7 linked regions of the Canis lupus familiaris genome follow. The protein of the gene in region 7 interacts with the protein of the main gene of each other region in a biochemical or structural test. Links are inferred from orthologs where the notes say so. Each region holds a gene or a part of one and is shown on either strand. Other genes may lie near its edges.

Evidence for each region.
Region 1: the proteins of HIF1A (region 7) and HSP90AA1 form a complex in vitro, tested with the Homo sapiens proteins (4 studies listed by BioGRID and IntAct, with this or other methods). The link is inferred for Canis lupus familiaris from reciprocal best matches to the Homo sapiens genes HIF1A and HSP90AA1.
Region 2: the proteins of HIF1A (region 7) and EGLN2 form a complex in vitro, tested with the Homo sapiens proteins (3 studies listed by BioGRID, with this or other methods). The link is inferred for Canis lupus familiaris from reciprocal best matches to the Homo sapiens genes HIF1A and EGLN2.
Region 3: the proteins of HIF1A (region 7) and KPNA6 form a complex in vitro, tested with the Homo sapiens proteins (2 studies listed by BioGRID). The link is inferred for Canis lupus familiaris from reciprocal best matches to the Homo sapiens genes HIF1A and KPNA6.
Region 4: the proteins of HIF1A (region 7) and NAA10 form a complex in vitro, tested with the Homo sapiens proteins (4 studies listed by BioGRID and IntAct, with this or other methods). The link is inferred for Canis lupus familiaris from reciprocal best matches to the Homo sapiens genes HIF1A and NAA10.
Region 5: the proteins of HIF1A (region 7) and EGLN3 form a complex in vitro, tested with the Homo sapiens proteins (5 studies listed by BioGRID, with this or other methods). The link is inferred for Canis lupus familiaris from reciprocal best matches to the Homo sapiens genes HIF1A and EGLN3.
Region 6: the proteins of HIF1A (region 7) and FHL2 form a complex in vitro, tested with the Homo sapiens proteins (2 studies listed by BioGRID). The link is inferred for Canis lupus familiaris from reciprocal best matches to the Homo sapiens genes HIF1A and FHL2.

The regions. Positions count from the first base shown.
Region 1 is NC_049229.1:70,497,800-70,501,441, forward strand, and holds the end of HSP90AA1 (heat shock protein HSP 90-alpha), read right to left. Parts: coding exon 3,477-3,642; intron 3,363-3,476; coding exon 3,215-3,362; intron 2,990-3,214; coding exon 2,721-2,989; intron 2,369-2,720; coding exon 2,035-2,368; intron 1,774-2,034; coding exon 1,664-1,773; 3' UTR 630-1,663; downstream 1-629. UniProt on the Homo sapiens protein: Molecular chaperone that promotes the maturation, structural maintenance and proper regulation of specific target proteins involved for instance in cell cycle control and signal transduction.
Region 2 is NC_049222.1:113,782,929-113,787,329, forward strand, and holds the start of EGLN2 (prolyl hydroxylase EGLN2), read right to left. Parts: upstream 2,867-4,401; 5' UTR 2,749-2,866; intron 2,498-2,748; exon of another isoform or gene 2,214-2,497; intron 1,698-2,213; 5' UTR 1,462-1,697; coding exon 625-1,461; intron 1-624. UniProt on the Homo sapiens protein: Prolyl hydroxylase that mediates hydroxylation of proline residues in target proteins, such as ATF4, IKBKB, CEP192 and HIF1A. Target proteins are preferentially recognized via a LXXLAP motif.
Region 3 is NC_049223.1:68,448,668-68,452,974, forward strand, and holds the start of KPNA6 (importin subunit alpha-7), read right to left. Parts: upstream 2,889-4,307; 5' UTR 2,798-2,888; coding exon 2,767-2,797; intron 1-2,766. UniProt on the Homo sapiens protein: Functions in nuclear protein import as an adapter protein for nuclear receptor KPNB1. Binds specifically and directly to substrates containing either a simple or bipartite NLS motif.
Region 4 is NC_049260.1:122,964,361-122,966,713, reverse strand, and holds the end of NAA10 (N-alpha-acetyltransferase 10), read left to right. Parts: intron 1-849; coding exon 850-934; intron 935-1,436; coding exon 1,437-1,673; 3' UTR 1,674-1,764; downstream 1,765-2,353. UniProt on the Homo sapiens protein: Catalytic subunit of N-terminal acetyltransferase complexes which display alpha (N-terminal) acetyltransferase activity. Acetylates amino termini that are devoid of initiator methionine.
Region 5 is NC_049229.1:13,056,808-13,061,119, forward strand, and holds the start of EGLN3 (prolyl hydroxylase EGLN3), read right to left. Parts: upstream 2,890-4,312; 5' UTR 2,554-2,889; coding exon 2,197-2,553; intron 1-2,196. UniProt on the Homo sapiens protein: Prolyl hydroxylase that mediates hydroxylation of proline residues in target proteins, such as PKM, TELO2, ATF4 and HIF1A. Target proteins are preferentially recognized via a LXXLAP motif.
Region 6 is NC_049231.1:39,109,582-39,113,294, forward strand, and holds part of FHL2 (four and a half LIM domains protein 2), read left to right. Parts: intron 1-1,439; coding exon 1,440-1,609; intron 1,610-3,119; exon of another isoform or gene 3,120-3,227; intron 3,228-3,523; exon of another isoform or gene 3,524-3,616; intron 3,617-3,713. UniProt on the Homo sapiens protein: May function as a molecular transmitter linking various signaling pathways to transcriptional regulation. Negatively regulates the transcriptional repressor E4F1 and may function in cell growth.
Region 7 is NC_049229.1:36,895,138-36,899,612, reverse strand, and holds the start of HIF1A (hypoxia-inducible factor 1-alpha), read right to left. Parts: upstream 2,974-4,475; 5' UTR 2,684-2,973; coding exon 2,649-2,683; intron 1-2,648.

The sequences.
Region 1 (3,642 bases), about 34 Mb from region 7:
ATTCCTGCGGGGCTGAGGAGGGTACCTCTGAGAGGGCTTTACTGATTAACGGATTACCACTCACCAGGCACTCAGGGCCTGCAGAGCGCCAGGGAACCAGCCTCGCCCCCCAGGACACAAGGCTCCCAAGTTCTCTCCCAGCCCGCTCCCCCAGGTTAACACGGTCATGGCTTATATGGGACCTTAGCCTCCAAGTCACCTGCTACTACCCACTTTCCAGGAACATGTTATTTTCGGATTGGCCATTGCTGCCCCTGCCCCAAGCTGGTTGGTTCTTAAAACCTGAGCTCAAGGGGCAGCCTGGGAGGCTCAGCAGTTTGGCGCCTGCTGTCAGCCCAGGGCCTGATCCTGGAGTTCCAGATCAAGTCCCATGTCAGGCTCTCTGCATAGAGCCTGCTTCTCCCTCTGTGTCTGTCTCTCATGACTAAATAAAATCTTTAAAGAAAAAAAAAAAAAACAAAAACACACCTGAGCTCAAGCTCCCCCCACCTCAGCACCTGCTGCTCACAGGAGTCTCAGCCACCCCTCCACAGAGCTCACCTGAGACTCAGTAAAGAACCAGGGAGTAAGGATTTCAGGTGGGATGGCAGTAAGGAGATTTGGTAAAGAACTCAAGATATTCAGGAGGCTGAGGTATTAAGGAACTATATTTAGGACATAAAGCAGATTTTACAAATACTACAAAAAAAGCAGCTTGGACATGAAAACCCTAGGAAGAAAATAATTATCCATGAGAAACTGGAACACAGGACACAGGATGCACGTTGTGGGACGCTCCCCAGTATGCTCACCACCCCGCGGCTGTCACTGGAGCGCACACCGCAAGGTCGCTAATAAGACTTCAAGGTGTCAACGTCCGCCACCTCCCTCATCCCTAACACATGCCAACACTAAAGTTTTTACATCCTGTGGCTGCCCTGTCATCTAGAATGCCCACTTCCCCCCCCCCAAAACAAAACATTTTCACAGAACTTTTTTTAATTTGTTTGTATTTGTTACAACCTCTTAAAGCAGAATGTGACTTGAGCACTACACATTTTCACTCACAAAACTTGTGGAGTTACTTCTTGAACAGCTTTACAACACGCCTAAAGAGGCTTAGAATCTCGCTACTCTAAACAACGCTCTTCTTTGGAAAACAAGCCCTATCCATGGCTACTCCCATCCAGTTGGTTCAGTTTCACTATTAGTTTCTAGAGGCCTGGTACATGCAGTTGAGAACTACAAGGGACAGAAGATTTAAAAAGTAGATCCTAGAAGGTGAAAGTTGTTTTAACCAGTATTTCTTCTTTTACACATCAAGGTACAGCTCAGAACACCTCAGTGACAAAAAAACACTTGGTCTTACTACGGAATCCACACTTGAGACCACACGGCTAACATTAGGTTACGTACACCTTACAACATAGGTTACCTTGTCCGGTTAAAATAAGCCAGCATGGGACTAGGAAAGAAAAACTAGCCGAGCTTTAGTTCCTACACGTCACAGTATCACACTCAAACAAAAAGAAATCTTATCTTCCCCTTAAGTAGCTATATTGTCATGCCTTACAGATTCTTAAAATGTTAACAAAAATAAAGAAAAACATCCTTGAAAATATATTATCAGAGGGAATGAAGATAAAGTATTGAATACATATACAAGTAATTCTCAGGGCAGCACTTAATCGACTTCTTCCATGCGTGACGTGTCGTCATCACCTTCGAGGGGCGGCATCTCCTCACTCACCGCAGCACTGCTATCGTCAGCTGTGGGGTCATCTTCGTCGATACCTGTTTGGACACAAAGCCCTCTCATTGGATTTCTCGAAGCCAGCTAATTAATGAGCCTAACAGCGGGTCTATACCTAACTTCAAAGAGTGAGCAATTCCCTGGGAGTGAAAACCACTTTCATTTTTTAGCCTTTCTGATCAAAAAGCCCTGTAACATCCTTAGGAGAAAACTTTAAGAGGTCACCCAAACCGGATCTGACACCCCCCCAGAATTGTTTCAGGAGCCAAAGGTCACACACCACTGTATCATGGGAAGCTTACCGAGCCCAAGCTTGATCATCCTGTAGATCCTGTTAGCATGTGTCTGGGGATCTTCCAGACTGAAGCCGGAGGACAGGAGAGCGGTTTCATAGAGCAGGATGACCAGATCTTTCACAGACTTGTCGTTCTTGTCGGCCTCTGCCTTCTGCCGTAAGGTCTCGATGATGGAGTGGTCAGGGTTTATCTCCAGGTGTTTCTTTGCTGCCATGTAACCCATGGTGGAGTTGTCTCTTAAGGCTTGGGCCTTCATGATTCTCTCCATATTTGCCGTCCAGCCATATGTGCTTGTGACAATGCAGCACGGGGAGGTCACCAATCGGTTTGACACGACCACCTGTAACCAAAGCATGAGGTGAGAAATGGACCTGGGAAGATTCTGCTGCCCTAACTTCTCATTTTTCAGTACCTCTATCCGCTTTATTAAAATGAAACCTAAGGACTCCAAGTACTGTATTCACGAATCAAGAAACACCACCTACAAACTTAAGAACTTTCTTCCTCCACATCCTAACTCTTCCCAGACCTTAACAAAACTGTAGAGTTTTCTCAAAGTAGAAAAACCTGATTTTCTATTTGTATAGAAATTAAGAAAAACCTATGGAGAAGCTTGGGAAACCCCCACGGGCACTCCACAGAACACCCACCAGCAGGAGACCCAGGCACACTGAAGCACTGTTCTCACACACCTTTTCTACTTTTTTCTCCAAGATGTCCTTCATGATCTTGCACAGATTTTCAAACTTTGTTTTTTTCTCCTCCTGTTTCTTCTTCTCTTCTTCGTCTTCTGGAAGTTCCAAACCCTCTTTGGTGACTGACACCAATGTCTTCCCCTCAAATTCCTTAAGCTGTTGGACACAGTACTCATCGATGGGTTCGATCATATAGATCACTTCCAGGCCATGCTTCCGAAGACGCTCCACAAAGGCAGAGTTTGCTACCTGGTCCTTGGTCTCACCTGAGGTGTAGGTAGAAAGTTACAGAACTTTAATAGGAAGTAGTTTCATTTCCTTTAGACTTGTACTTGGTCTAGCCAGACCTAACCACACAAGGGAGCCCAGCCCACATGGTCCTGCCTAGGCTAGTCCCTACAGGCTGACGTGTAAAAGCACGTGTGTAGAGAGTACACACTCTTACCTCCTAGGAAGTTGGAAGAACAAGCTGATTGTACACCTGTTCTTACCTGTGATGTAATAGATGTGTTTCTGGTTTTCCTTCATTCTAGTGCAATAATCCTTGAGAGAAACCATCTCATCACCAGAAGCCGACGTGTAGTATCGTAACAGCTCTGACAGCTTCTTCCGATTTTGAGAATCTTCATGTATTCCCAGCTAGAAGAGAACATTAACTTTGAATTTTCTCTGCATTGAAAAAAAAAAAATCGCTTAAAATTTGACAAAACACAAGGACAACCACTCCTAAGGATCAAATGTGTTTACACATACCTTGATGTTTTTCGAGAACTGCTCGTAAAACTTTTTGTAGTTCTCTTTGTCTTCAGCCAGTTCGGTGAAAAGTTCCAAGCACTTTTTGACCAAATTTTTTCTGATAACTTTCAAAATTTTGCTTTGCTGCAACATCTCACGGGAAATATTTAGAGGAAGATCTTCA
Region 2 (4,401 bases), on a different chromosome or scaffold from region 7:
AAACAAGGAAAAGGTACCGAGACAAAAAAACAAAAAATCAAGAGAACAAATCAGAACCAAAAATAATAAAGTGACGGATAGACAAGATGGGAAGGATACAAGACAAGCATTAGGATGGGAAGCATAAGAAAGATGGAAGACAGGACCCTCCCTCCTCCCCTAGGCCAGCATACAGGCAGCCAGTGCCACCCTCGGGAAGCTGTCCTTGCCACAGATGCCACAGTACGGCACATGGGGTACAATGTAGTCCAGCACAAGTGCAGCAGGCAGCACCTCCTCCCTCAGCCTGGCACTGGCCTCACCACCGCCACCCTCCCCACTCCTCCTGGGAGACAGAACAGACAGACCAGAGGACAGACCAGAAACGACTGAAAGGAGAGATGAGAGAGGGATGGATGAAAAGATAGGGGATAGGAGAAAGAATAAGTGCACAACCCCCAAAATCCTCCCAGGGAGGGAGAGCCCAAATCAAACTCCAACACCAACATTCACTCCACTAGAGCTGCCTAAATCCTTTTGTGACCCCAGAAGCCTATCTTCAAGGGCACTGATGCTCAAAGCACCAGGTCTCCAACAAACAAGTACTGGGGGGCCCCCCTCCACACAAGGCCCTCCAAGTCTTACCTTGGTGCGCCCGTTGATGACATAGCCACCTAGGCGCCCAGCGCAGTGGCGAATCACAGCATCCACATGGGCCATGAGGACCCCAATGCTTCGGCAGCCCGGCTCATGGCCTTCCACCCAGGCAATCTGGTCCCCACGAATGCTGCGTGGCGGGATAGCCCGCTGGCTCACCAGCTGCCCGTCACGCAGGCGCCCGCTCCGCTTCAGGGCCTCCACCTCAGCCAGCACGCAGCCACCCAATGCCGCCCCCAAGAAGCTGTCCTTGACACAGATGCCATAGTACCGCATGCAGGGCACAATATAGTCCAAGGCCAGGCGCTCTGGTGCGGCGGGCAGCACCTCCTCCCGCGGCCCCACGCTGGCCTCTCCATTGCCACTGCTGCAGCCCATGCCGCCCTCCCCTTCGGCTTCTGCCTCCCGGTTCTCCTGCCTGGCCCAGGACCGCTTGCTGGGTGCTGGGGCATCCCCACCATCCTCTGCCCACTTCCGTTTGGGGGCCTCAGGCCGGGCACCCTGGGCGGCCAGTCGCTGGCACCCCTTGGTGACCAGTGCTGCAGCGCCCTCACTCTGCAGCGGGCGCAGCTCGCCACCATCCTGCCCGCCGAAGCCCTCCCGCAGGGGGCTGGCTGTTGTGGAGGTGGCTGTGGCCCTGGGGGTCCCACTCCCCGCCGAGGCCTCACCAGGTGCTCCTGGGCGGTGGTAGGAGGGTAGCAGTGGACAGGGCAGGTAACTCTCCACCCCCATCCTGGCCCGGCCAGGCTCCAAGGGCTCTGACACAGAACCCGGCAACTGAGGAAGAGCCTGACTCAAGGGCTGTGGCTGGCACGGGCTGTCCATGGCAGCAGTGTCTTCATCCCCCGGGCATGGAGGGCACGGCCCGGGCCCATGGTGCCACCCTCCTCCGCCTCCGCCTCCTCCACTTGATGCAGCCGGGGGCCGGGGCAGCTGAGCCTGGCGTAGGACAGGGTGAGGCAGGGCAGGCAGCAGAGGCTCTTCTCGGGCCCTGAGGGTGCTTGCTGGTCCCCAAGTCCTCTGCTGCCCCTAGGGGCTTGGGAAAGGACCCGTCAGGGTGGCTGAAGGGCAAAAGAGAAAAAGGAATGTGAGAAGAGCTAGAGGCACTCCAGCTGGGGTAGAGGTGAAGGGTAGCAGGGGCAATAGAGAGGAAGGCAGACTTGGCTACACAGACACCCCAAACCCGAGGCCACATTGTGAGAGAAAACCATGGGAATTGGGGAGGGGGGTGACAATCACGGAGAGAGGAGTGAGGCTGGGGAGATGACCCAGAGACACAGAACTGTGGTGGGGGCTGCGGGAGAGCATCCTGAGAAGAGAGAGAGAGAAAAACAGAAAGGACAGAGAAGACCTAAAGTAGAAAAAGAATGCTGGAGCAGTGGGGGAGCAGTGGGGAGCAGGAGATCGGCCTGGGGATTCCAGACACGCACGGCGGGAACGGGGGGCTCCACACACACAGCAAACCGGGGAGTCCAGAGACAAAGAGAATGGGGGGCCCAGAAGCGGAAAAGCCGACCGGGGAGAAGCTGGGAGGGCGGGCCTGAGACAGCGGGACAGAACGGGGCGGAGGGGTCAACCTGAGCCCAACGAGAGGAAGCCTGCCGGCGGCTCACACACACCCAGACGGAAGGGAGGGCCTAAGACAGACAGACAGACGGAAGGCAGCCGCGGGAGGAGGGTCCACGGCGACGCGGGGGGAGGGCGGGGGAGGGTTCACGCACTCGGGGACAGGACGGGGGAAGGCGGCCCCTCCCAGCCCCCTTCCCAGCCGCCTTCGGTGCGGGCCTCCCCGCTCGGGGCGCTGGAGGCGATCGCGGCCGGGCCGGGGGACCGCTGGGCCCCCGCGCCCGCTCCCCTCCCCCCCTCCCGTCCGCCGGCACGCGCCCTCCGCCCCCACCCCTACGCTCCAACGGCCGGCACTCAGCGAGCCGGGCGCGCTCCCTCCCCCACGCCCTCCCCCCTCCCTCCCTCCCTCCCCCGGCTCGCCGCGCTCCGCCACGCCGGGCCGCCGCGCGTCCCCACACCCAGCCCGGCTCGCGCCGGCGCCCCGCCCCGAGAGCATTCTTCGCTCCCTTCGCTCCCCGCTCCCTTCCCTCCCCGAGCTCTCCTCACCGAGCTTTTTCCTCCGGCCTCGGCGCCGCCGTTTGTGCCAGCCGCCCAGCGCCGCACAGCGCGCCATACCCCGCCCCCACCTCCCGCGACGCTCCGCCCCCGCCTCGCCCGGTGGGCACGTGACCGCGCCCGCGGAGGACACCGCGCGTGCGCAGGCGCGAGCCGCGCGGGGCGGAGCAAGGTAGCGCAGGACAACCCCCCCCGCCCCCCGAGAGAGGGGAAATGGGTCGGTCGCCAACGGGAGGCTCATTTGCGTGCTGCGCTCCGCCCCTTACGGGCGAGGAGCGGGAAGGCCTGAGGGAGTTCAACGGTTAGGCCAAACGACGTGGGAGGGGCATGCAAATAGCGTTATTTGCATGGGCCGGCCCACCCCTCGGAGCACCGAGCGGTGGAAAGTGACATGCAAATAATATTATTTACATGGGCAGTCCCGCCTTCTCCCAGCCCCAGAATAGGACTGTGATAGAGAAATGTCAAAAAAAAAAAAAAAATGTCTGCGCATTTGGTAGAGAAACGTATAGAAACGTGCACATTAGTCATTTACTTAAGTACTTTTTATAAAGGAGGGAAAGAAACCGTGGAAGGTCCCTAAGGGAGGAAGACTGGAAGGGATGTGCCACAGTAAGACCAGCTCCACCCTGCCCTGTCGGGACAATTGTGAGAATCTAAATAAAGCAACCTAGGAAAGCTACTCAGAGTTCGCAGACAGGACATTTGTCTGACAGCCTCGGGTCTCGGAACATCTTAGGTGACCTAGCCTGGAAGGACTATGCAGATGAGGTTATCTAAATGCCCTGCCCCCTCCACCATCGCCAGGGCGGAGCGGGGGTGCGGGGAAGAGGCAGCAGGCTCTGGGGTCAGGCCTACCTTGTGAGTGGGTTGGTGCTGACTTGGGGATGGCAGAGAAGCTGGAAGTGTCCTGAGGGGGGGGCTGCACCTGTCCCTGGCAGAGTACTTGCAAGTATGTCAGTTCACCAGGACACAAGAGATATACACCAGTATCAAGTATGCACAAGTCTCAAATATGCGCAAGTTGCACAAAGGCCCACAGAGTCTTCGGGAGCATACTCAGGGTTCATGGTCACACGCAGGCGTGTCAAGGGTGCCAAATTCACACAAGACACACACAGACCTCAGGGGCATACACACAGTGTCACACACACAACAGTCAGACACGGCCTGGGACTTTCTAGCATCAAACATGCATGGGTACTATCTCCTGGCCTTAATTTTCATTCCCTGGCCTTGGTCCCAAACAACACCAGCCTCATGGTTACAATCACTAAAGACACAAAGTAGTCACAGGCAACAGTATCACACACAATCAGCACATATTCCTACAGGTACCATCATACAGGTCACAAACACAGGACATCAGCGCCCCACAGGTGGACTTCCAGCATGCCTGGTCACAACATGTGCAGTTAAAAATTCCCTCCACAAGACCACTGGAGTCATGGTGTACCCCCACACCATATCCAATCCAAAAACATGGCCCCCAAACACCATGACACATGGTTCTTCCATCAGGGAACTCTTCCATCTCCCCTCCCTCCCCATCACCCCAAAATAACAGAGGCCAAGACACAGGTGTAAACAATGCTTTATGGGGGTGGAGTGGGGACTGGACAGGCCTCCAGGCAATAAATAACA
Region 3 (4,307 bases), on a different chromosome or scaffold from region 7:
CTAAAAGATCAAAATCCAAGTATCTTTGACCATATGCAATGAAACAAGAAATTCACAAATATGTGGAACCTAACAACATACTCTTACTTTTAAAAAATATTTTATTTATTTTATTCATGAGAAACACAGAGAGAGGCAGAGACACAGGCAGAGGGAGAAGCAGGCTCTCTATAGGGTGCCTGATGTGGGCCTCAATCCCTGGAACCTGGGATCATGACCTGAGCCAAAGGCAGACACTCAACTGCTAAGCCATCCAGGCGTCCTCATACTCTTAATAGATGGAGGACTCATACTTCTTGAGTTTAAAATATTTTTTTTTCAATTTTTATTTATTTATGATAGTCACAGAGAGAGAGAGAGAGAGAGGCAGAGATATAGGCCGAGGGAGAAGCAGGCTCCATGCACCGGGAGCCCGATGTGGGATTCGATCCCGGGTCTCCAGGATCGCGCCCTGGGCCAAAGGCAGGCGCCAAACCGCTGCGCCACCCAGGGATCCCCACTTCTTGAGTTTAGAACTTACTACAAAGCTATAGTAATCAGAATAGCGTAGTACTGGCATAAGGATGTTTACATATCAATGGAATAAAATTCAGAGTGTAGAAATAAATTCACACATCTATGGTGAGCCAAATTTTAATAAAGGTGTCATGTTCATTCAATGGAGTAAGAATAGTCTCTTCAAAACAGTGTGGGGGAAAAAAAACAAAAATAAAAACAAAGAAAAACAAAACAAAACATAGTGTGGGGACAACTAGATTTCCAGATGATGGACCCCTAGCTTACACCATGTACAAAAATTAACTCAAAATGGATCAACAACCTAAATGCAAGCCAAGACCATAAAATGCTTAGAATAATACACCGAGAAAGTTTTTTATGACTTTTCATTTGGCAATGGATTCTTTTACCTATGACATCAAAAGCAGAAGCAATAAAAGATATTAACAGAAAGTGAAAAGAAAACTTGTAGCATGAGAAAAACTGTTTCCAAATCATGTTTGATAAGGATTTAATATCAAGAATATATAAAGAATTTCCCCTCCTCCCATTCATGCTCTCTCTCCCTCACACTCTCTCTCAAATAAAATATCTAAAAAAAAAATTTCCACAACCCAACAAAAAGACAGACAACCCAATTTAAAAATGGGCAAATGGGGATCCCTGGGTGGCGCAGCGGTTTGGCGCCTGCCTTTGGCCCAGGGCGTGATCCTGGAGACCCGGGATCGAATCCCACGTCGGGCTCCCGGTGCATGGAGCCTGCTTCTCCCTCTGCCTGTGTCTCTGCCTCTCTCTCTCTCTGTGTGACTATCATAAATAAATAAAAATTAAAAAAAAATAAATAAATAAATAAAAAAATAAAAAAAAAATAAAAATGGGCAAATGATTTGTGCACTGCTCACTAAAGAAGATATGTAAATGCCAATATGCACATGAAAAGATGCTCAACAGGGGCGCCTGGGTGGCTCAGTCAGTTAAGTAACCAGCTCTTGATTTGGGCTTAGGTCATGATCAGGGTCTGTGGCTCCACAGTTCAGCAAGGAGTCTGCTTGGATTCTCTCTCTCCCTCTACCCCCCCCCCCCGCTTATATTCTCTCTAATAAATAAATAAAATATTAAAAAAAAGATGCTCAACATAATTAACCTTAAGGGAAATGCAAATCAAAACTACAATGAGATATGATTTCATATCTACTAGAACGACCACAATAAAAACAGAAAAAATACCAAGTGTTCTCAGGAATGTGGAGAAATGGGTATCTAGTGCATTGCTGGTGGGAATGTAAATTCATGACTTTGGTATATTTAAAAAAGAACTGAAAACAAGACTCAGATACTATATGCCAATATTCAATGTGGTATTATTCACAATAGTCATAAGTTGAATGGATAAACAAAATGGAGCATATACATACAATGGATTATTATTCAGTCATAAAAAGGAATGAAGGTCTGACACATAGATGAACCCTGAAGATAGCATTATAAGTGAAATAAGCTAGACACAAAAGGACAAGTGTATGACTCCACATTTATGAGGTACCTAGAGTAATCAAACTCAGAGACAGAAAGTAGATTAAAGGTTATCAGGTGCTACAGGGAGGAAAAAATAGAGAGTTATTGCTTAATGGGTACACAGTTTCTGTTTGGGGTGATGAAAGTTGGGAAATGGATAGTGGTGGTGGTTGCACAACAATGTAATATAATAAATGCTACTTAACTAGGCATTTAAAAATGGTGAATTCTGATATATTTACCATACAAAAATTTTATTATTATTATTTTTAAAGATTTTATTTACTTATTCATGACAGACACACACACACACACACACAGAGGCAGAGACACAACACAGGCAGAGGGAGAAGCAGGCTCTATGCCGGAAGCCTGACGTGGGACTCAATCCCAGGTCTCCAGGATCATACCCCAGGCTGAAGGCGGCGCCAAACCGCTGGGCCACCGGGGCTGCCCCTCACAAAAATTTAAATTGCAGCACACTTCCTCCAATTAAATCTGACAAAGAATCCCTGTTCTAAATCTTTTTTTTTTTTTTTTAAGATTCTGTATTTGTCTCTTTACATTCCTTCATTTCAGGGCCAATTATGTTAACCGTATTTTCTTATTTTTGTGTTCTTGATGTTTTTCCATTTCAAGCTTTACAGACCCAGGGAGAGACTGCCCCTCCCATGGCTGGTAATTCCTAAAGGGAACAACTTGTCCAACAGAATGCAAACTAACTAGTCCAAGGTCACATCTCCTCTATCTTACCTGTACACCCCAAAAAGCAATATTCCTCCATTTTAATTCATCCCTTGGTCAGGTAGTAGTAGGCAAGTAGAGACCACTCCTGTAGGCCAAAGCCCTATGGATTCATTCAAACTAGCCAATCCTAAACTGTTTATACTCTGCCCTGCCTTCATGGTTTCCCTCAGAAACTTTAGTAAAGGCTCTGGCCTAAATTGGCTTGCCCTTCCCCTTCTGCCTGGTGCTTTCTTCTGTGACCCGATACGCATGCAGTGGTTCTCTGATCTGTGAACCTAACAGACTTCTTTTACACCTCATTCCTGTCCCTTCCTGTGGCCAGAATGACTTTATCATAGCTTACCCCATACTGACATTTGAAAAACAATCTCAATATGTAAAAAACTGGTAAAAGTGAAACTGATTGGGGCATCTGGGTGGCTCAATGGATTAAATGGCCCACTCCTGATTACGGCTCAGGTCATGACCTCAGAGTTGTAATTGAACTCTGTATTGGGTATGGAGCCTGCTTGAGATTTTCTCCCTCTCCCTCCCACTCTCTCCCCCTTGAAAAGAAAAAAAAAAAAAAAAAGTGAGGCTGATTATGTTAACCCACAAGTAAGTAAGGCTTCCTCTAGAGGTATTTCCTAATTCTCTAAATTATTTTTTCTCTTTTTTTTAAAGTAAGCTCTCAGCTTACATGAGAACCCAACGTAGGGCTTGAATTCATGACCCTGAGATCAAGAGTCGGACAACTAACTGTCTGAGCCACCCAGGTGCCCCCCACTCTCTAAGTTGCTAACTGGAAACAGTTACTAAAAGTATTGCTAAAGGGGTGAAAAATAAGTTTTACAGGCAAACAGAACAAGTAATTCTAAGAGTACCCCCTTTCTGAAGTAGTTGGGGTGAGTGTAATGGGGAGTTTTTAAAAAGAAATCTCAAGATTTGGGCTGGTTCTTCAACCACGAAGTCATGTTGGGGGTAGAAATACAATAAGGACATAAATGGGAGAGGGGCAGGGAAGAGTCTTAAGAGAATCTGAGTGAAAGAAAACCGAAAATGGAAGCTGAAAAAAGTGCTGAATTCTGGAGGTAGAGAAACTGAGGAAATGAAATTTCAGAGAGGGTGCCTCTATCATTCTGAAAAGTAGCTTGGCAAACCAATCACAGCAGGTCTTAGAATGTAGGAGACACAACTATGTGGTGAAGCCCAAGTGAATTTATTATATAAAAAAAAATTGTAGGGGACTGCAGTGGCCTCCCTTTGGGGTTCCTGATTACCCCTGTGCCTGGAGACTAAGAGGCACAGGACAGATTTCTAAAGGCAGCACTGTGGATTGCTGTCCCCCATTACCTGACACATGGTTTTTCATGACTCTGAGCCTGGGCTCTCCCAGGGGGCGGTCTCCTCCTTCAAGCAGAGCTGACAGCAAAGCTGGAAGGAGAACCTGGCTGTGCTTCTTTAGTCACCATGGTGACAAGAAACTATTGCAAATATTTGCTTATGACTTCACTGGAGAAGCCAGGCAGGGGAGGTTAGATTGGAAGAAGGAACGACCACAGAAGCAC
Region 4 (2,353 bases), on a different chromosome or scaffold from region 7:
GGAAACCTAAGCACGTCCAGGCAGGTAGAGTCATCGGCAAGAGCAGTGGAGGGATGCAGAGCCCTGGGGTATCCTGGTGGATGAGGGCAAGCCCACTTGAGGACATGGGAGTCTCTGTGTGCCTGGCGCAGAACAGAGAAAACCTGGCAGGGAAGTGATGTGGTGGAAGCTGCTCGAAGGGGAGGCTGGGGGTGGAGGACCCCCAGAGACAGCTTCAGCTTCAGTTTGCTGGGGGTGAAGAGGGACCGCCAGGAAAGGCATTCAGGGAGGGGTCCTGATCTGGATATAGAGTCTCTGGTGGCCAACAGTTGTGGGGTCTCGGGGCTGGCCAGCTCTCCTAGGCCATCAAGTCCAACACCCTTCCAGTGGCAGGGTACCCGAGTGTGTGCATCCACCCTCCACTGCAGGCTTGGCCCCTAAGGTCCTCAGAGCAGGGGTCACAGGGCCTGGCAGTGACTGTCAGGAACCAGAGGTCCCAGCTCCCGTCCTCCTCCATTCCAGTGGCTAGGCCCAGGAGTCAGCCTTGGTTGCTCAGTGAGTGACAGGGAACAGGGCATGGAGGGAAGGGAACAGCTAATTCAGGGCTTGGGCTCACAGCAAACCACAGAAACAGATGTGTGGGAGCCAGCTTAGGGACACAGGACAGTGGGAACCCCCAGAGGGTGCAAGGCGCTGGGTGCTACTTGCTGCCTACTGCTGGCGAGCGCAAAGGGCAGGCCGCGTCGGAATGGGCTTGCTGTCTCCGTCGGGGAAGACAGACGTGCCGCCGCACTAGCGCAGGATGCCAGAAGACTGAGGAGACTTGAAACTCTGATTTGGGTCGTTCTTTTCTGCTCCTCCTGCCCCCAGGATCAGCGAAGTGGAGCCCAAGTACTACGCCGATGGGGAAGACGCGTACGCAATGAAGCGGGACCTCACCCAGATGGCTGACGAGGTGAGTGTCCCTTGGGGTGCCTGAGGCTGTCGGAGGCCCTCAGAGGCTGTGCTGCCCAGTCGGCGCCCCTTCCCCTCACGTTCTCAGCTGCCAGGCAGGGAGCAGGCCATGGCCGGGCTGGAAAGGAGGTATCACCCCAATGTTCCCTTCTCTGCCAAAGCCTGTCCTGTCTGAGGCGTGATGGCAGAGGAGAGGGAGGAGGCTCTTGGAAGCGCCCAGAACTTGGTCCCCTGGTCTCAGGGGTGAGACTCGGCTGGGCAGAGGAGAAAGTCAGGGTCCTGCCCCAGGCTCGTCAGGGGCCAGGGCCGTTCTGAGGGCTTGGTGGCAGCCCGTGTGAGGGAGGCATGTGCACGCTCACTCAGAGGAGATTGCAGGGCCCAAGAGGTCTCCTGCCCCAGGCCTGCCGCCCTTCATCCCCGGTGTGGGGGGCGGCGGAGGGCCTGCGTGCTCAGGAGACTTAGGTCCCGTCTCCCCTTCCGTCCCCCCGGGCTCCTGGCGGCAGCTGCGAAGGCATCTGGAGCTGAAGGACAAAGGCAGACACGTGGTGCTGGGCGCCATCGAGAACAAGGTGGAGGGCAGGGGCAGCTCGCTTCCGAGCTCTGGAGACGCCTGTCGTGACGAGAGAGGCCTGGCTGCTGACGATAGCGGGGGCGACAGCAAGGATCTCAGCGAGGTCAGCGAGACCACAGAGAGCACCGACGTCAAGGACAGCTCAGAGGCCTCTGACTCTGCCTCCTAGAGCCCGCACTTGCTCCTCACCCCACCCTGGCCTGCCCATCCTGTGCTCGCCCCTCGAGGTTTCCCAATAAACTTCCCCCAGTGGCCTTGGGGAGTGTGTGTGTGCGAGTATGCACATGGGGGGCGGGCAGGGGGCCACCTCTCTCCAGCCACTCTGTGTCCCTGTGGTTATGGACATCACAGCCTTTCAGCACCGCATGCCCTCCAGAGCCAAGTAGAGGGGATTTGGAGGTGGGGCTCCCATGTCTGATGGCTTTCGGCACCTTTGGGCCCGGGAGAGGGACACCCTGGAGTTCTGGAGGCTGGTCCCTGCCGGGAGGCAGATGCTCTGCTGCTGCCTTGCTGGGCTCCTGATGCCTAGAGTCCAGCTGCTCACTGGGCTTATCTGGTGCCGTCCTGTCTTGTCATGGCCCAAGCAGCCACCCAGTTGCTCAAGTCCTGGCAGCTGTCCTTGATTCCTCCCTCCCCTGCCATCCAGAAGATCGGGAAGTCTGGTGTGTTCGACTACCGTAATACCCATGGAATCTGCCCCCTAACCTAAGCCTTCATTTGGAAATAGTTGATAAACTTTATTTTTAGTACAGCCTTAGGTTTACAGAACTGAGCCATTGGATAGTTCCCTGGAACCTCCCTCCGGCCTCCTTCACCATCCCTGAGTTACTTTGTATCAAATGTTATATT
Region 5 (4,312 bases), about 24 Mb from region 7:
ACTCAGATGAGGGAAGAGAAGAAGAAAGTTAAATTAACGTGAAACTAATATAAATCACACAGAAATGCACTGCATTTCTACCATGCTTTATTAAGACCCAAGGCCACAAAGCGAGGGAGAATTCTTTATACAAACAAATCAAACTTTTTATCTTCGACTCTTAATAATTGTTGGCTCAAGTCTGGTTTACAGCTGGTTCCAGTTGGCCACGGAATAGCCCAACCTAGAGGTGATTTTTCTAAAGGACAGGAATGAAAAGCTTTGTGCCAAAACAGCTCAAGAAAAGCCAGAAATCTAGGTATGGACAAGAGATGACTTTTCTCCTTTCAATTCAGTCACCTTCTGAAAGGGTTAATTGAGAAGCTATTTGTTCTACCCAGAAGATAATCTATAACTGAAGAATCTTATCTAGAGATCTTTTTCCTTACCCAGACATACAGTGTTTCTCCTCCAGTCTGTGGAGTCAATTTATAGTCAAAGCTAAATACAAATACTTAACTTTCAAATTTGTTAGTGACGACTTTCTACCAATTAATCCTGACCTCCCTCTGAGCAAATTACGTTCCTAGAACGTTGGGGGTAAAATTCTTAGCACCTGAGTTGCAATGAAACTTGCAAAACTGATAAGAAGCCATCTGCTCTTCCAGACTGAGGCAACAAGCACTTCTGTAACACTGAGGCTAGCCCTCCCCCCCCCCCCCCGCCCCCCATTCCAGCCCCAGGAGGCAAGGTCATTCAGTGCAAAAACAAAACTAACCAAGACAAATGGCTTTCTAATCACTAAAATGATAAAAGAGTAAAACACTTCCATGTCAATCTTGTACAGAGTCCAGGCAGCTGAGTTTTCCCCAAATCAAAATAAAACTTAGAAAGCAGCATTTTCTCCCAAGATTTACTTTATTTGCGTCTGATTAACAAGTGCTTTCAGACATTCTATTCATGTCCTCCTGGCTTTGAAAGGCATATAGTCGTGTGTTTCTCCTCTACTCTGTTCCCCCACTCCAATGGGTCCTTTCTACCCATTTTCAGTCTTTCACTTGCCCTTTACTAAAAGTATCCCCTCGGTCTATGAGGCAAATGAGACAATAAAGGTATGTTTTATCAAAGGGTCGATCTAAACTGAGAAATGGTATAGATATTGTTAAAGATTGGTGCACCTTTCTTCTCATGCTAGCATGCCCTGCCTCCTCCTGTGCTAAAGTTTTCTACGGCTCTGGGTGCACCTTGACCAGTCTGCAATAAAAGTGCAAATCACTCGGAACTGCCACTGGAGAATGGCCGGGTTAGCATTTGTAGAAAAGGCTGAGTAGCTGGACTATCCCAAAGTAACATACACAGACCAACATCGTGGTACCACGGCTCCCATATTTCTGCCAATCTACCTGGAAACGTTTCCAAGATAAATTACCACCCAGGGAGTCACTTCTGGCTGTGGTGAACAAAAACAGGGTTTCTTTCCAGAGGTACCTGACTACACTCTCCCCATCACTTAACTGGTTGTTTTGGGTAGATTTCTCCACCAATGGATAGTTCGGAAAGGGAAGGTGGTGGCGTAGGGCTCAGCAGCAGGACAGATTTTGCTCAGCCAGGGAGCCCGTCTAGTAGTGTGCAACAAGCCAAGGGCAGCACCAAGCCAAGGGCAGCACTCAAAAGTGCAGACCAGCTTTACTCTCTCTCAGGTCAAACTTGGTCACATCTGCCAAACTCCACACACCAAATGTCACCCTGAAAAACATCACAACTGTCTCCAGAATTCTTTAAGAGGAATACCCTCTGAACACAGATGAGGTACAGTATTAGGGGACTTTTAAAGTGGACACATCTAATATCATGACTTCGCACGTGTCTCCCATCATACGCAATGTTTCCAATAACCTGTCCCTCATCTGGACCTTTGGGAACCTCCACGGATTAAAACCAGCCCAGAAAACCGCAGCTTGCCCGGTGTGTACCACCCACGAGACCCACTGTTTCAGTTAACAGAAGGTCATGGTAATCATACACCTGAGTCCCTCAGCACGGATTTTCGCTGGGAGGCGGGGTGGGGGAGGGGGACCCGGACTGACTTCTTGCTCGTCGGTTAAAAGCTAAAGTTCACTCGCAGCCCAGCGAAGGCAACAGACACGGGCTCCGAAGGTCCCCAGTCCCCGGGCGCTACGGCGGCGGCGGCGGCGGCGGGGAGCCCGCGCGTCCTACCTTGGACCTTTCCTTGACGTAGTATTTGCCCAGCCGGCTCCCGCAGTACAGGACGAGCCTGTCGATGAGCGACAGGAGGAAGCTGATGGCCTCGCAGCCCTCCTCGTTGCCCCCGATCCACGTGATCTGGTCGCCCCGCAGGTGCCGCTTAGAGACGCCGGCGCGCGGCCCCGCCAACTGGCCGTCCCGCAGGGCCCCGTTGCAGTGCAGCTGCTTGACGCGTTCCAGGACGCAGTCGCCCACCACCTCGCCGAGGAAGTTGTCCAGGTAGCAGAAGCCGACCTCGTGCAGACAGGGCACGATGTACTCCAGGGCGATTTTCTCCAGATCCAGCCTCATGATGTGTCCCAGGGGCATCTCGCCCTCAGAGCCAAGCTCGGGGATCCCCAGCGTGCACCGAGACCCGGAGCGACCTGCGCGCGCGCAGCCGAGGCGCGGGGAGCGCGGCCCGGGGTTCAGCTACCTGCGGCGGCCACGGTCCCCGAGCCACCGCCGCGCCAGGGAGAGGGGAAAGTTGTTCGAAACTCTGGGAGGCGGGATCCCTTCCCCTTCCGAGACCGGTGGGAGCTGCGCGGGGATCCACGACCTAGCGCCGGACTGGCCCAGCGAGGAGTCGGCGGGCCCCTTTTGGAGATGCGGAGCCGCCACTGGTGCCGCGGCGGCCCCAGGCGGGGAGAGGCGGAGGTCCAGCCCCGGAGCCGGCCGACTCGGCGCGTCACGGGCCCCGCCCCCGGCCCCGCCCCGGCCCCGCCCCGGCCCCGCCCCGGCCCCGCCCCGGCCCCGGCCCGCCCCAGGCCGCGGCTCCGCCCCGCCCCCCGGCCCCGCCCCCGGCCCCCGCCCCGCCCCCGGCCCGGCGCCCACTCCCCGACTACTGCTGCCCGGCGCCAGCCTCGGTTGTTTGTGACTAAAGGACTGGAAAACATACGGAATTTTTAGAATGCTACCGATTTGCATATGTTTTGCATAAAAGCCCATAACAAACTTGAAGGATCCCAACTCTGAAAATGTAAATGAAATTAGCACAGTTTACTGCCACGGTCTGGGCTGGTCACCTCTTGAACAGAATAACAAACTCAGAAACAGATACGTGTGTTGAACAGTGATCCAGGTCTAGCTTTACCTGGTGCCTTGCCTTATTCCTCTTTCATCTGCTGTTTGACCCAGGTCAGGAGACTCAAGCCACTCAGAGAGTGGGATAAATCCAGTTTAAACGAAAATTAAACATTCCCCTAACCCTCGTGTCCCCACCCCCACCCCCCAAAGCCCTGTGTCCTCTCCCTGGGGGGGGGGGGGGGGGACGGGAGAGAGGAGGAGGAGATGTGTACAATGAAGAAATGCTGGATATTATCTGATTGAACCCTGAAAATGCTGTATTTTGCTTCGCTGCATGTTTTCATCCACTTCTCTTTCAAGCTTCTTATTAAAATAGGATGTTCTGAACCTCTGCCTTCAGAATTAATCACATGCTCATGTAACAGCCATATAAGTATACCCCCCAAAAGACACACTAAATTCTAGTCTCCAATCTCACCTTTTCTCCAAGAAACTACACTTTACTCAGGAGGGATGGACACCACCTAAAAGACTTTTTTAGTTATTCAAAGGTAAGCTGATTGCTTTATGGGTTTTTCATTCCCTTTCCTACCAAACACCAGAGATTAGAATCAGGGGGAAAAGATTCCTAAATTGCATGCAAAGTCATTTCCATATTTTAAATTTTACATTACATTGCGTTCAGGTTCTTCATTTCAGTTGAACAAAGGAATGAACAAGTTTTACAGGTATCATGTATTTTGTACACAACCCTCCACAGCTTTTTCACTTTTATTCTCCTTCCAAAAGCCCTCTCCGCTCTGCATGCTAAGGGAGAGATATGAAAGGAAGAGACGAATGAAATCCAAGCCAAGAATAAAGAGTAGAATAGGAAAGGCGCTGCTGCTACATGATGGAAAGAAGCACTCAGGGACCCTTGGTGGAGAAAGAACCTGGGGGATGTTCAAGAGGGAGCAGTCAGTAAGAAACCTGTGGTGAAACTTCTGTTTTACTGAGAGGAGGTTCTCTGCCAGGATGGTGATTAGCTGGCACTGTTAGCATGACTTTTCAAGAGGAGCTGCAC
Region 6 (3,713 bases), on a different chromosome or scaffold from region 7:
TTTGAAGTCTAACTGGTGTGTCCTTCATGCCACAGCCCCTGGATGCCCAGTGAGCCCCCGGGCTGCCTAACATGTTTCCAGAAAAAAACAGGCCACTACCTGGGGCCTTGAAGCCCGCGGGGTCTGTCTCAGCAACCCTTTCCTGCCAATGTAGTGTGAACGCAGCCGCAGACCATTGAAGGAAGTGAGCAGGTGCGGCTGCGCTCCAGGAAAAGCCCAGCTGCAAAACGGGGGCGGCACAGACTGTGCGCAGCCACAGCACCCCCGTCCTCCCCGGCTGGCTCAGGTATTCAGAGCACGTTTCTTTTTTTTCACTTCTTACCCTCCTTTCCCCGCAAAATGTACCTTGTTGCTGCCTGCAAAGCGTGCTTGCATACGCATCTGTCTTGAACACATCTGTCACCTCTTTCTGTAAAATACACATACTTTTATTCTCTTGGAAAAGTATTGGAAAATGTCCACAAATCCTGAGCATTTGCTGTGACTCCGGCTCAGGGGCGGGTTCAAGGGTGGGTGGGGATGGGGGTGGGGGTGAACCAAACAGCATTTCCGTTCTCTAGGACTTCTTCATCTACTTGAAGAAATCACATAAACATAGCACACGACAACAGTTATTCGAAAGGAAATGCAATGTCACAAGATTAGAATCAGAAAATTGCTAAATTAGCCATCCGGGCATCACTTGTGGCTTTTAACAGCTGCATTCAGTGCAGCGGGGAGAGCGTGGAGACCCAGCAGCTTGGTTTACACCTCGGGCCATATAAGGTGATCGGTCGGTGTGGAGGCTCCTCATGGGATCAGGCTTGACACTCTAGGTTCGTGTACAGCACCACCACTTTCCATCCGGTGTTTTTTTTTTTTTGTTTTTTTTTTAAGATTTTATTTATGTTCATGAGAGACACAGAGAGGGAGGCAGAGATGCAGCAGAGGGAGAAGCAGAAGCAGGCTTCCTGCAGGGAGCCCAGTGCAGGACTCGATCCCAGGATCCCGGGGTCCAACCTGAGCCAAAGGCAGATGCTCAACCACTGAGCCACCCAGGTGTCCCTCATCCTGTGCTCATTAACTGGCTGCAGGGCTGTGTCCCACTCCGTTGGGACTGGTCTGAGCTAGGCCAGCTTGCTCTTTCTGCTTTGCCTACTGAGACATGGAGTGACAGATCCTTTTCCCACCTAACGTTCATTACCTCCCTGCTGGACAAATAAACCTCGAGTATGCACAGAGACTGTTCTGGGAGCAAGGTGTACAGCAGTGAACCCCCAAAAATACACAATCCCTGCCCACTCCCAAACAGTCCCATTTGGAGGCCAGCCTCTGAGAGCCACAGTGATGCCACAGTCACAAAACTAGGTGGTGGCAGGTTCTTGACGAGGGGCGCTGGGAGTGCAGGCCTGTCATGTCGTCAGCTCTGCTCTTTGCCGTCTTCTTGCCCCTTGTGCCAGGTACCCGCAAGATGGAGTACAAAGACAGCAGCTGGCACGAGACCTGCTTCACCTGCCACCGCTGCCAGCAGCCCATCGGTACCAAGAGCTTCATCCCTAAGGACAACCAGAACTTCTGTGTGCCCTGCTATGAGAAACAGTACGCCTTGCAGTGTGTTCAGTGTAAAAAGGTAGCTCTCACCTCCCCCGGGACCTCGTGTATTCCAGTCTGTTTGCCTTGGCTGTCAGCCCCCTTTCCCCGGGGACAACACCCTTGGTACTGGGATGGCACAAGAGTCTCACCTGTCCGGCCCCGCATCCCAAAATTCTCATGTGCACGTGTGCATTTTATCCACTGGAAGGACCCCCATCCCAGGCCTTCTTTTGACCGCACAAGGGCCACTGGGACCTGAGATGGGAGCCTGTAGCCCTCCCTCCTAGAGCACTGCCGAGTTTTTGCTCCTATTCATGACATGACGTTAAAGGGGAGGAAAACTTACTATCCCAGAGCTCCTGTTACACTGTCCTCCATCAGTAGACAAGAAACGAGCTGCTGAACCTCGTGGGAGGGAGGGATGTGAGAAGCAAAGGAAAGTTGTGGCTGGGACAGGGGACAGGTCACTCGTTGCACCCAGCCCGCTCATCTCGTGCCGTGCTGTCACGGCCATTAGTCAAAGGCAGAAAAGGAGCGCCACGCCTGCCGTCCTTTGCCCTGGCAGGGCCTGCTGGGGAGCGATCGCAGAGCCTGTTTGGCTCCGGCCTGTTCACTGACGCGGCTGTTGGGCCTCCGTCTGCGGAAGAGCCCGGCTGCTGTTCCCTCTGCTGGTCGGCCTGACCTCGAATGCCCGACCTGCTGGCGCCTTTCCAAAGGGCAGAGTATTGCTCACTCGCCTTCATGCTCTCTCGTCTCCCTCGGCCTCGTGTCCGTCTCATTTTTTAAACTACGATTTTAAATTCCACATCTTCCAACTTCTACTCGTAAGATTATATTACTTTTCTGCTGTTTTTCGCTTCCTCCTTAGATGAATCGCTCCTTCCTGTGTTTATGTCAGGAAGCCTCTTTCTTCTCTGCTCACTCCCTTTTTGTTTGGTTTGCTCTTTCTCATCAAGATCCACGGAAAGTTCACGTCATTTGCTTTTCTTGCATTATCTTCCTCCCAACCTTATTGCTACTGTGTTCGGTGGCAGAAGTGAAGGTAATGCATCCTCCGGGAAGCACAGCCCTGTGGGTGTTCATCAGGACTGGTGGAAGCATTCACACCAGTAACATCCACCCTCCCGCAGCGCAGGAGGTGCTCGGGGCTACTAGGGCCTGGGGGGAAACACACTTCGGTGGCAAACGTTCAAGTGCTTATCGACAAGCGTGCTTTGGAGGAAAACAGTCGTAACAGAGCGTACACAGGGGCCAGCTGAACCAGTCGGAGGAGTGGGAGCCAAGCTGGTGTTTAGGGAGGGCTGCTCTGGGACAGTGACACCCACGAGCATGTCTGAGCCAGCTGGGCCATGCGGGGTGCGGGTGGGCATGTGGGTGCAGAGAGGACAAGAGTGTGGATTCCACGTAGAGCAAACCTCTTACTACACCCACCTTCTCTGTCCACACAGACACCTTGCCACTGAATGTATTTTGCATAAATTCTGTTCCAAGGCGGGAATTTATAGGAAGATCATTAATACATTATAGTTTAATGAAAAGAATATACGGTGCTCACTTCGGCAGCACATATACTAAAATTGGAACAACACAGAGAAGATTAGCGTGGCTCCCGCACAAGGATGACAGGCAAATTTGTGAAGCTGTTCCGTATTTTTTATGTTGGCAAATTGAATTTAAATTCTAAAAAAATTAAAAATAAATAAATAAAAAGAAAAGAATATATGATAGACTCCTGAATCCAAGTACCTGCTTTGTCTTTAGCTAGCAAATTCTCAGGCAAGTCCCTTAATTTCTCTGGGTCTCAGTTTACTCACTTGTAAAATGGATATAATGTCTGTAGTATGTAAGGGCCTTTATATAGTTGACCTTTGAACAACACAGAGTTGAAAGGGACCAACCCCCCTGCACAGTTGAAAAACCACATAGAACTTTTGAGTCCCTAAAAACTTACCTAGTAGCCTGCTGGTGACCAGAAGCCTTCCCGGTGGCATAAATAATCGATGCACACAGCTGTTGTATGTTATACGTATCCTAAACTGTATTCCTACAATAAAGTAAGTAGAGCAAAAAAAAAAAATATTCAGAAAGTTACAAGAAAAAAAGCATTGACAGTATGGTACTGGGTTAATTGAAAGAAGCCC
Region 7 (4,475 bases):
AACCACTGAGATAGTTGCTATGATTATCATCATTTCAAAAGGAAGAAATAGGCTCAGAAGCATTCAGTAAGTTGCCCAAGCTTACAAAGATAACAAGTGAAAGAAATGGGCTCTTTACTAAGGGATGTCTGGGTCCAGATCCTATGCCTCAGCTACCAGGCTTGTTCTTCTTCAAAAAAAGGGGGGAAAAGTCAAAGTATAATTGTAACAAGAAAAAAAAAAAGGCTTACTAACAAATTAAAGTTTCTTGACTTTTAATAACCAAAAGTTAAAGATGTTAAGAGATGTCCTTGCTTAGAAATTTTACTTTAATGATCCAATAACCGGTTTTGGATACTGAAGGAGTCTGGCCTGAAACCTGTAAGAGAACAATGAACGTCTTGACAGTCCTTTGAAATCTAAAAATCGGTATTAATGTGCTATTAAGTCCAGCCCCTACCTACTGCTAAGGAATCAACGTGAAATTCCCTGTTAAACTCATTATAACCATATCCATCCTCTGTTCTGATATCTTACAATGCTTCAGTTTTTGAGTTTCCTAGACCTTCTTTAAGGAAGACAAATATGTCTCCCCAACCTGGGCTCTAGAGCACATTTAAAATGGAAAAACTGTAAGGAGAAAATACCTTGCTCCTTAATGTCTCAGCTATTCTTTCAAAAAGTTTAAAAGTATTAGTTAGAAAATGATAAAAACCAGACACCTTTAACAAATACCATCTAAAAGCTGAGTGGCTGTTTACTAAGTGTTTAACTTAATTTTAACTTATAAGAACCTCTATATTAAGAAATATGACTCAAACTGATCCAAATTTGCTAAATTTTCAAATGAGAGTATTTTGAAAGTAACAGATAGGACTGAACAAAATCTAAGAATGAGTTTAGAATTGGGGGTGATGCACAGTAACTAATTAATTCACTTTTATTAATGCTGCTTGTGATATCCCAGCTGATGAAGTGCAAAGGAGAAATGAACAGAATATTGCACATGAAAAAAGGAAGCGATTGGCGCATAACTTGATGCACAATATTAAGTATGATTCAGCATATAATAAGGACTGAAAATTGACACTACACGGAGATAATCTGCTTTACGTTTATAATCTAGCAGCCTCATCATTTCATCAAAAGCACTGTAACCACTTCTGCAAAATTGATTGCAATTAATTCCTGTCAACTCTTGGAATTAAGTCTAGTCCTGTTCACTCACTTTTTGAATTTTATAAGAACTTTCTCTGGTGTACACAAACTGAGACTTTATCATTCCACCAAAGGAGGACCAAAATGTACCCACGAAATAGCAACAACACAAACAAGCCTATCTTGCGCTGACACTGATTGGGGAAGTTTAATCTCCCCTAGAAGAGCAAAACGACTTTTAAGGAGTCAAACCAGGGTACTAACCACAACTCTTTATTACAAACCTCCAATTCCTTAAAATGTTTTCCACAAAGGTTAAAATACCAAAAGTGTACCAAATTGTGCCGGCGGGGGAGGGGGTGGTGGTGGATCACTCTTGATCCCACTGGTTCCATTTACAATCCTTTATCCTACAATGTACCACTCAGACTCAAACTTTAAGGTGCATTAAAAACTTGCATTAAGTTCTAACAGGATGATCATTTACGTCAGGTATAACTAGGTCTGCCTTTAACATACTTCAGCTTCATGAAAGGGAGACGGTTCTAAAAATTTGGATGCTACGTTTCATTTGCTGCGGTCACACACATTTCTTCCCCACCCCCACCGCCCCCCAATCTCATTAATATTGTTTGCCTAAATTCAGCCAGCCGCTACATTTTCCACTAAGACGCTTTCGGGAATGAATGAGGCACATATTAATTTATAACGTCTGAACTCTCTTGACAGCTGATATAAACGCCAAGTACCCAATTCCGAGGTTCTCCTTTAGTATGTTTAAACCCTTTCTCCAAATTCCCGTTAACTCTCTCGGCCCGGACGAGTTTTTCAAGGCGATTAAAACAAAACAAAACAAAACAAAACAAAACCCGCACGTGCGAAGTAAAAGTTAGCATCTTCGGGCCGCGGCGACAAAGGCCAAGCCCCCCGCCGCGGCTGGTCCACCTCACGCGAGCCCGCGTCCGAGCAGGCGAGCCCCTCGGTCGGAGCCCCAGGGCCGCGGGCCCCCCTGGGAAGCCGGGGGCCGGCGTGCGCGGGCCGCCCCGGGGCCGAGCTCTCAATGGAACCGGAGAGAATGGGGGCGGGAAGGAGCGGAAGCTCGGGTGCAAGCGGCGGCGGCGACGGAGCCGCGGCTCGTCTCTCCTCCCGGGGCTCCCGGGCTAGGGGAAGTCCGCCCGGATGGGGGTTCGAGGCGGGCCGGCAGGACGGCGGCGTGAGGCCCAGGCGCCGGGAGGCCACGGCTAGCGGGGCTCAGCCCCCGGACCCTGAAAGCACTTTCGATGCGTCTCCCACCCCCCACGACAAGATGGCGACGTGGGCAGCGGGGGAGCCCGGCCGGCGAGGCTGGGGGAGAGAGGGGAGGGGAGAAGAGGCAGAAACAAAAAGGCGCCCCCCCCCCCCCCCACACACACACCCGGAACGCCGAGCCGGCCCGCGAGCCCCCGGCGGCGGGCGGGCGGGCGGACGCGGGCGCCTGCGGAGAACGCGGCGGGCGGAGGAAATGGGCTTACTTTTTCTTGTCGTTCGCGCCGCCGGCGCCCTCCATGGCGAATCGGTCCCCGCGAAGCCTTCCCGGCCGGTAGCCCCCCCAGGCTCGCTCCGGCCTAAGCGCTGGCTCCCTCCGCACGCGACGAGGGGAGCGGAGGCACGTCCCGAGGTGGGAGGTGCAAGGCGGGAAACCCCTCGCAGAACGCGGGCAGGAAGGGCGGGCGGCGATCGCTAGGGTCCAGCTCTAGGCTCCGGAGAGCCTCCCCTCGGGCGGCTTGTCAAGGCCCGAGCCGACGCGCTGGCCCAAGCGGCGGCGACCAGGCCGATCCTCGCGTCCCCTCAGACGAGGCGGCTCTGTGCACTGAGGAGCTGAGGCAGCGGCAGGGGGCGGGCAAGGGCGGAGGCGCGCGCGGGGGCGCGCGCGCGGGGGGGCAGGGGGAGGAGAGTGTGTCGGGGGCGCGCCCGCCCGCGGAGCCCGGCTCGCGCTCACGCAAGCCCGCCTCACCTGAGGGGGAGGCGGGTTCCCCGACAGCCAATGGCGAGCGGCGCAGGCGGCCAGTCCCACCCCAGCCCACGCCCGTCTCAGCCAATCGGGAGCTGGTCAGCTGAGGCACAGCTGGGACGCGCCGCCGCGCTCACGTGCTCGTCTGTGTGCAGCTGCGGTGGAAAGAGAAAGGAGCTGGGGTGCGGCCAACCTGGGTTGGGGACGCTCTGCCTACTTCCAGGGAAAGCGGCGGCTGGCTTTGGGAGGCGCTGCTGAGAAGGGATTTCGGGTTTTGGGTCTCAAGACTGCATCACATTTCCTTTTCCCGGGGCAGCGAGTCTCCCGCTCGCTCGCGCTCTCTCTTCCCCGTGGCGGCGTCGTGCAGGGTTGCCGCCAGCTCTGCACACACACGTCCAGTCCAACAAAGCAGACTTTTTGCGTCGTGGCAGCAAACGCTGTCGACCCTTTGCTTAGATGTGTTCGCAGTGGGGGTTTTCTTGCCCGGTTCTGCGACCCCGGGCCGTGTCACCGACCGGCCTCTTTGCCGTGGAACACAAGGGTACTCGCCTTGTCCACCAAGTTTCTCGGTGATGAAGTTTGGTTACTGAGTAAATGCAAATTAAAACATGGAAAGCAAACAAACTCCTCATGCTGTAAACTTCTCAAGGGAAGTAGTTAAGGCAGCAGGGAAATCTTAAAATCCGAAATGATTTTAGCATTTACAAATAGGTGAAAGTGGCTTTATTTAATAAAAGCGCATAAACCAGAATTTCAGGGGAAGAGGAGGAAATGGCTTTAGGTGGACTTCCATTTTACCTCCTCATTGTTTGGAAAAGGGTCAAGAATAATCTTTAGACGGGGGGGGGGGGGGGGGGGGGGGGGGAGAGGGAAGACAACCCTTAGTTTGAGACTCACTGCCTGTAACTCACTGTGTTGATTGAAAAGAGGAAATATTCTCCAAACCCACCACCACCCAGTCTGGGGCAGGGAGGCTGAACTGGGTATGGTGGCGGCCTGTATTGTCTGTCTGCTACCCTGACCTTGCAATCCACTGAATAAAAAACGTAATCACTCTTTGGATTTGAAAGTATGTATTTCAAAGCTGTCATGTCAGCCTTTTAACCGGGAGAGAATGTATTTTGAGTTCAAAGCATCATTGCACTACTATCTCCACTTGACAAGAGATTATTTTACTTCTCACGTTTGCCTTATTACATTGTTACAATCTAGCTTTGAGTTGTACATTATGGATACATTATTGTGGATATCTGTAGTGGGTTCACTTATATTGATGTGTAAAAACAATGGTCTATATGACATAGCACTAAACTCTGTTAACAACTGATGGACAAAGCACTTCGTTTTA